Lepisosteus oculatus: one gene and its partner. The protein of the gene in region 1 purifies or fractionates together with the protein of each later gene. This does not show direct contact. Links are inferred from orthologs where the notes say so. Each region holds a gene or a part of one and is shown in the gene's direction. Other genes may lie near its edges. The genes, in order: gna13b and arhgef1.

Region 1 (3,919 bases):
TTTATTACATTTCATAAATATGCCTAGGAGGCTCACCCACGTACAATGATCTTTCTTGATCATAGCAAAGTGGTGGATATTATCTTTCGCTGACTGCTCCTCTGTTGTGCAGTCAAACAACAAAGGCTGTTCCTTGTGCGCCTGTGTTTTTCTCCATCCGTGTGTGCTCCACAACGGAGATCCCCACCAACTTTCTCAGATATGAGGACACCACCCTGGGTTATGCCATCCTTGAACCCTCCTTTGGGTAAGGCTTGTACCTTGGAAATATGGGACAGGAGAAAACAGAATTGACACAGTGCACAGTAGTGCAGTGATCCGCATTGCTGCCTTCTAGTGCTGGGGCCCTGGGTACAATTCCAGCCCTACAGTGCTATCTGGGTGGAGTCTGTACGTTCTCCCCATGTTCATGTGGATTTCCTCCCGGTGCTCGGGTTTCCTCCCACAGATCGAAGATGTGCTGGCAGGCTGGCTTCTGGGAAAAGTGTCTTTGGTGTGAGTGTATGCGTGTGCTGGCCTGCGATGGGGTGGAGCCCTGTCCAGGGTGCACCTTGCCTTGCGTCCATTGCTTGCTCTGATAAGTTCCCCCGCAAGCCAGAATTGGATGAAGCAGCTAATGAATGAATGTGAGAAAACAAAACTTTACCTATTAATAATACATATATTATTATATACATCAATCTAACAAACAACAATTTCTGTTTCTGATTATTTTGCATACTATTAAGTCCGAGACTGATCTTAACTGAACTGTAGTGTTTGACTTTGAACAATTCATATTGTAGAAACAAACGCTTATTGAAACAATAAACAAAGGATTATCGTTGTCCCTGATGAAAATGGAAATGAGTAATTACGCGACTAGAATTTCGCAGGATAAACACCTACAAAAGAGCTGAGCTGTCCTTGCTTAACTGTGGGTTTAAATGCAAGTGACATTTTCTAAAACTATTAAATAATGTTTAATTTGGGACACTGAGGTTTTCGGTTTCAATCAGGGGCGGAGGATCCCGACAATTCCCAGCGGGGGTCTTCTCTTTCCTCAGGCAGGGGATCCCCAAAACAAAAGAAAGACCCTGGTGCAGCAGTAGCCCGTTAAGACCAACGCTTTATAGAAGCTCTGTCGACCTGCGCGTCTGGATGTAATAGTCTACAAGGAGTCGCATCTGCAACAGCAACGAGTTTCAATCTGATTTTATTTTTATCAAAAATGAGCCCTTAATGACGGATTTCCACATCCAACCAAGTAAAGGCCACGCTTCTACGTCTCTTTCCAAACCCCACCCCCTATTAAAACCACAGTAGAAGTTACGCCGCGCATTCGTGCGCGCCCTTACAATGCGACTGCGCCCCGCCCGCCTCGGAGCTGAGACTCTCGGGGGCGCGCCCTTTCCCTCCCTGCTGTATCGATGAAGTTGCTTCAAAGATGGCGGATTTCCTGCCGTCTCGGTCCGTTTTATCAGTTTGTTTTCCTAACTGCCTTCTTAACAGCAGCGAGGCAGAGCAGCTGAGAATTTCCAAGGAGATCGACAAATGTATTTCCCGGGATAAAACGTACGTGAAGCGGCTGGTGAAGATCCTGCTGCTCGGAGCAGGAGAGAGCGGCAAGTCCACTTTCCTCAAGCAAATGCGTATCATCCACGGCCAGGACTTCGATCAGAGGGCCAAGGAAGAGTTCCGGGCTACGATCTACAGCAATGTAATTAAAGGTAAGTTCGGAAAAGAAAGTCGTCCGGCCCGACTGGGGTTCGTTTTCGGGGTTTTCGGAGGGGGGAGGGAACGTTTCTTAAACGGCCGAGTTGCGCACTTGAGGAGCGGGTCAGAAGTAAAGTTGTGTTCTTAGGGAGACATCCCCTCGACCGTAGAGAGAAGAAACGCCCATGTTATTTGGTTGTATTAGACAAGGAAGGGGGGTTAATCGGGCGCTAATTCACGTTTTCGTCTTTCGTGTGTAATCACGCTTCTCTTTCTTTTCCCCCCTTCAAGAAATCTGGCACGAGGAGTTGTTGTTTTTTTCCCCCTTGGTGGGTACTTTTTTTGGGGAGGTTAGCCACTCAAAAGTTGCCGGAGAAGCCTGGCTATTGTAAACGGTGCACAATCAGAAAAGCTCTGCACGGTATCCACGCGTTGCAGCGAAGAAAAGCCAGATATCTGCATTTCACACCGCGATGTAACGCAATCTGGGTAGAGGTGAAACGCCCAAGTTGGGGATGACTCTTTGAAAACAGTTACTATGTTTCGTTGGCTCATTTTTTTTTTGTGAGAAGCGAGGGCACGGTTTCAGTTGTTTGCAGTGAAGCCGAGAGTCTTTTTTTTTCCCCCTGGTGAAACCTGGGCTTGGCGGTGCCGTTTTAAGTTTTCTGACGAGTGATTTGAGTGTTTTACTTGGAAAGAAAAAAAATGTCCTGCCAAGGGAAGGTTAAAAAAGCGGGTTGCCCCTTCTTTTTTTTTTTTTGTTTGTTGTAGAAGTATTTGAGACGGAATTCAGGAGTTTTCTCCTGTCGTCCGGCCCGTTCCCGGGGTTATCTCGTCTTCTCAGTTGCCTTGAATTTTTCCTTTACTGGTGTTCAAACAGGTTTTGTCTGCAGCGAACGTTAATAATTACTGGATGTGTAACTAGACGGCGGCGGGGCGATTCGCATCTACAGACTCTTCTGTTTGATTTAAGGTGATAGCTGTAGGGTGTTGTCCCGGTTTCAGAGGTCGCATGAGCAGTGTTAAAGAAATAGAAACACATTTCTGAAGGGAAGCAAGTGGCCATATCCGGTGTGGGGGGAGAAGGCCGAGGCCAGTCCAGACGCACAGATGAGTCTTTTTTCCTCAGTGACATCAAGTGAGTCGCTTGTTCCGATGTTTATAAGCAACATTTCTGTCAGGGAGAGACCTGTTTTACAGATAATGATTGTACTGTATACTTGGGGGGAAACAGTGTCGTTGTGACGGAACCAGAAACTCTTTAACGTGAATTCAAAGAGAGTTGTGCTTCAGTGAGGGTGCAGTAAAAATGAGTGGTTTAGGGGGAAATAAGAAGCAGCCGTGCATGAAGTACTGGTTTAAAAGGCTTTGTTGGGCAGTAAGAATTCTAAAGGGACTGGCTTGGCTTTGTTCAAATAGACAACCTACAGCATCCGTTCAGACCGTCTGTTTGAATGATTTTGTTTTCCCTTTACTGCTACATTTAGCGATGGGCAAGGTTTTCCAAGCTCTTCTATCTTTAGAGCTTTTGTGGTCACAAGACCGCAAAGGGAAGGTGAATATCTAGGTGTATTTTTCGTATTGGAGGTGGAGTTTTCCCTGTTAGAGCTCTGACTTTGCTAAGATCCTTCCCCCCTCTTTGTGCAGCATGCTGCATGACCTTTCCATGTGTCACACATTGCATTATTGGATAGGTCAGGCTATAGCTTTGCTGCGTGCTTCTTTTGATACTCTTTTCTTATTAATTTTGGAGCAGAGCAGAGTTTTTTTTTCCCCTAGCACAATAAATCGGCGTGTGAAAGTGTAAAGTAATTCATAGCCCTTGAATGACGAGATCATGTGTTATGACTCATGTAACTGTGTATAATTAATTTTGAATGGTACAAGCCTTGCAAAAGCAGCACAGTGGTGTTGTGCTACCTCTCGGCGCTAGAGCTCTGGGATCAGTTCCTGACCCGGGGTGTTATCTGCCTGGGGTTCGTATGTTCTTCCTGTGTTTGCGTGAGTTGCTCTCGCAGTCCAAAGACACCTTGGTAGGTTATTTGGCTTCTGGGGCACATTGGCACTGGTGTGAGTGTGTGTGGCCTGCGATGACCTGGCGTCCCATCCAGAGTGTACCCTGCCTTGAGCCCATTGCTCGCTGGGATAGGGTCTGGTTCCACTGGAACTCATTAGATGAAGTGGCTAGAAGATGGATGGAGGGATAAGTAATGCAAGATGTTGC
Region 2 (3,919 bases), on another chromosome or scaffold:
CTGGACACTCCAGTACATTAACACTGCACTGAGAGAGAGAGAGAGGTTAATACACACACACTGACTGGACACTCCAGTACATTAACACTGCACTGAGAGAGAGAGAGGTTAATACAGACACACTGACTGGACACTCCAGTACATTAACACTGCACTGAGAGAGAGAGGGGTTAATACAGACACACTGACTGGACACTCCAGTACATTAACACTGCACTGAGAGAGAGAGGGGTTCATACAGACACACTGACTGGACACTCCAGTACATTAACACTGCACTGAGAGAGAGAGGGGTTAATACAGACACACTGACTGGACACTCCAGGACATTAACACTGCACTGAGAGAGAGAGGGGTTAATACAGACACACTGACTGGACACTCCAGTACATTAACACTGCACTGAGAGAGAGAGGGGTTAATACAGACACACTGACTGGACACTCCAGTACATTAACACTGCACTGAGAGAGAGAGGGGTTAATACAGACACACTGACTGGACACTCCAGTACATTAACACTGCACTGAGAGAGAGGGGTTAATACAGACACACTGACTGGACACTCCAGTACATCAACACTGCACTGAGAGAGAGAGGGGTTAATACAGACACACTGACTGGACACTCCAGTACATCAACACTGCACTGAGAGAGAGAGGGGTTAATACAGACACACTGACTGGACACTCCAGTACATTAACACTGCACTGAGAGAGAGGGGTTAATACAGACACACTGACTGGACACTCCAGTACATTAACACTGCACTGAGAGAGAGAGGGGTTCATACAGACACACTGACTGGACACTCCAGTACATTAACACTGCACTGAGAGAGAGAGGGGTTAATACAGACACACTGACTGGACACTCCAGTACATTAACACTGCACTGAGAGAGAGGGGTTAATACAGACACACTGACTGGACACTCCAGTACATTAACACTGCACTGAGAGAGAGAGGGGTTAATACAGACACACTGACTGGACACTCCAGTACATTAACACTGCACTGAGAGAGAGAGGGGTTAATACAGACACACTGACTGGACACTCCAGTACATTAACACTGCACTGAGAGAGAGGGGTTAATACAGACACACTGACTGGACACTCCAGTACATTAACACTGCACTGAGAGAGAGAGGGGTTAATACAGACACACTGACTGGACACTCCAGTACATTAACACTGCACTGAGAGAGAGAGGGGTTCATACAGACACACTGACTGGACACTCCAGTACATTAACACTGCACTGAGAGAGAGAGGGGTTAATACAGACACACTGACTGGACACTCCAGTACATTAACACTGCACTGAGAGAGAGAGGGGTTCATACAGACACACTGACTGGACACTCCAGTACATGAACACTGCACTGAGAGAGATTTCTAGGGGAGCGAAAATAATGTGACACATTGCGGAACTGAGTGAGCGAGAGAGGGGGGGGCATCAAGTACTTTTCGCCTGAGAGAGAGAGATTTAACCGAAGTCTAACAGGAAGAGATTGTAAGCGAGAATCCCCATCCCCCGCCCCCTCTAAAAAAACAGACCAGCGGTATTTGACATAGTTCGCGGGGCTGAGCTCGGGGGGGTTGCTGGACGTGTACTCACAGCTTTCCAGACTTTCCCCACTCGCGAAAGAAAAAACACTCGAGCGTCTGGGGCGTGAGGTTTTTGCAGTCTTGTTCTGGGCACAGTATGTGCTGCGCGGGTGACGGGTCGACGCTCGCAGACAGGAAATAATCGGCAATTTTGTTTCGTTTTACCCCCGGGCTGCAGACTCCGCCGCCGTCGAAGGTAAGACGCGCAGAAACGTCTCATTCGGACAGATCCGGCGGCGGGCTGGTCCGGGGTCGGGGGCTGGTGGGAAACTCGCCGCTGTCCTGAAGTGGGAAGTTTGTGCGGAGCCGCGCCGACACAGCCGCCGCTCTTTCCGGTTCGAATCTGTTTCGACCTCGCCTGACGGCGGCTCCGACGCGGCCGGGTGTCTTCCGCGCTGCCGCAGTGCCGAGAGGCCACCGGCAATACTAATAATACTAATCCAAATACACTATTACCGACCGAGCGCTGTACCTGACACCTCCGGACCGAGTTATACTGTCGTGTGCTGAGTAGCACTTTAACGCACTTTACTGTCCTGGACTTAATAGTACTTTAATCCACTGTACTGCAGTGCACTGAATAATAATTTAATAAAATATACTGTAGTATGCTGAAAAGTACTTTATCTCGCCCTATTTACACGTCCTGAATAATACTTTAGTATACTACACTGTGGTGTTTTGTATAGTACTTTAATGCACTGTACTGTAGTGTACTGAATAATAGTTTAATACAATATACTATAGTCCACTAAACAATACTTTAGTATACTATACTGTAGTGTGTTTAATAATACTTTCACATGTTATGCTGTAGTGTCCTGAATAGTACTTTAACATGCTCTACTGTAGTGTCCTGAATAGTACTTTAACGCACTATAGCAAACACTTAAAAGTACTTTAATACACTATACTGTAGTGCACTGTATAGTACTTTAACACACTATAGCATACAGTACTGCATAGTGTTTTGACACACCATAGCGTACTGAATAGTACATTCATACACTATGCTATACTGTGATATACTGAATAATAACTAAATACACTATACTGTAGTACTTGAGCACAGTATACTGTAGTGTGCCAAATAGTACTTTAATACACTTTAGTCTACTGAATAGTGCTGTAATACACCATAATGTAGTGAACCGAATAATACTTTAATACACAATACTATACTTTAGTGTACTGAATGGTTATTTAATACGCTGTACTGTAGTTTACTGAATAATACTTTAATACACTATAATGTACTGGTGTGTTAATTACTATCGGTGTGGCGGTCAGTGTGCTGTGTTGGTCGCTCTTGGTGTCTGACACAGACGGCGTCACCTGCACACAGCGTCACAGTGTCTGACACAGACGGCGTCACCTGGGGGGGTGTAGTGCAGGCTGTAGTCTGGGGGGGTGTAGTGCAGGCTGTAGTCTGGGGGGTGTAGTGCAGGCTGTAGTCTGGGGGGTGTAGTGCAGGCTGTAGTCTGGGGGGGTGTAGTGCAGGCTGTAGTCTGGGGGGGTGTAGTGCAGGCTGTAGTCTGGGGGGGGTGTAGTGCAGGCTGTAGTCTGGGGGGTGTAGTGCAGGCTGTAGTCTGGGGGGTGTGTAGTGCAGGCTGTAGTCTGGGGGGTGTAGTGCAGGCTGTAGTCTGGGGGGGTGTAGTGCAGGCTGTAGTCTGGGGGGGTGTAGTGCAGGCTGTAGTCTGGGGGGTGTAGTGCAGGCTGTAGTCTGGGGGGTGTAGTGCAGGCTGTAGTCTGGGGGGTGTAGTGCAGGCTGTAGTCTGGGGGGGTGTAGTGCAGGCTGTAGTCTGGGGGGTGTAGTGCAGGCTGTAGTCTGGGGGTGTAGTGCAGGCTGTAGTCTGGGGGGTGTAGTGCAGGCTGTAGTCTGGGGGTGTAGTGCAGGCTGTAGTCTGGGGGAGGTGTAGTGCAGGCTGTAGTCTGGGGGTGTAGTGCAGGCTGTAGTCTGGGGGGTGTAGTGCAGGCTGTAGTCTGGGGGTGTAGTGCAGGCTGTAGTCTGGGGGGTGTAGTGCAGGCTGTAGTCTGGGGGGTGTAGTGCAGGCTGTAGTCTGGGGGGTGTAGTGCAGGCTGTAGTCTGGGGGTGTAGTGCAGGCTGTAGTCTGGGGGGGGGTGTAGTGCAGGCTGTAGTCTGGGGGGTGTAGTGCAGGCTGTAGTCTGGGGGTGTAGTGCAGGCTGTAGTCTGGGGGGTGTGTAGTGCAGGCTGTAGTCTGGGGGGTGTAGTGCAGGCTGTAGTCTGGGGGTGTAGTGCAGGCTGTAGTCTGGGGGGTGTAGTGCAGGCTGTAGTCTGGGGGTGTA

What was found.
Region 2: the proteins of gna13b (region 1) and arhgef1 purify together in Homo sapiens (affinity purification with western blotting; 5 studies listed by BioGRID and IntAct, with this or other methods). This does not show direct contact. The link is inferred for Lepisosteus oculatus from reciprocal best matches to the Homo sapiens genes GNA13 and ARHGEF1.

Annotation. Positions count from the first base shown.
Region 1 is NC_090704.1:39,942,121-39,946,039, reverse strand, and holds the start of gna13b (guanine nucleotide-binding protein subunit alpha-13b), read left to right. Parts: upstream 1-1,315; 5' UTR 1,316-1,426; coding exon 1,427-1,709; intron 1,710-3,919. UniProt on the Homo sapiens protein: Guanine nucleotide-binding proteins (G proteins) are involved as modulators or transducers in various transmembrane signaling systems.
Region 2 is NC_090722.1:10,274,391-10,278,309, reverse strand, and holds the start of arhgef1 (rho guanine nucleotide exchange factor 1), read left to right. Parts: upstream 1-1,477; 5' UTR 1,478-1,808; exon of another isoform or gene 1,809-2,145; intron 2,146-2,983; coding exon of another isoform or gene 2,984-3,919. Other genes in the region: uncharacterized protein DKFZp434B061-like, read right to left, coding at 2,984-3,919. UniProt on the Homo sapiens protein: Seems to play a role in the regulation of RhoA GTPase by guanine nucleotide-binding alpha-12 (GNA12) and alpha-13 (GNA13) subunits. Acts as a GTPase-activating protein (GAP) for GNA12 and GNA13, and as guanine nucleotide exchange factor (GEF) for RhoA GTPase.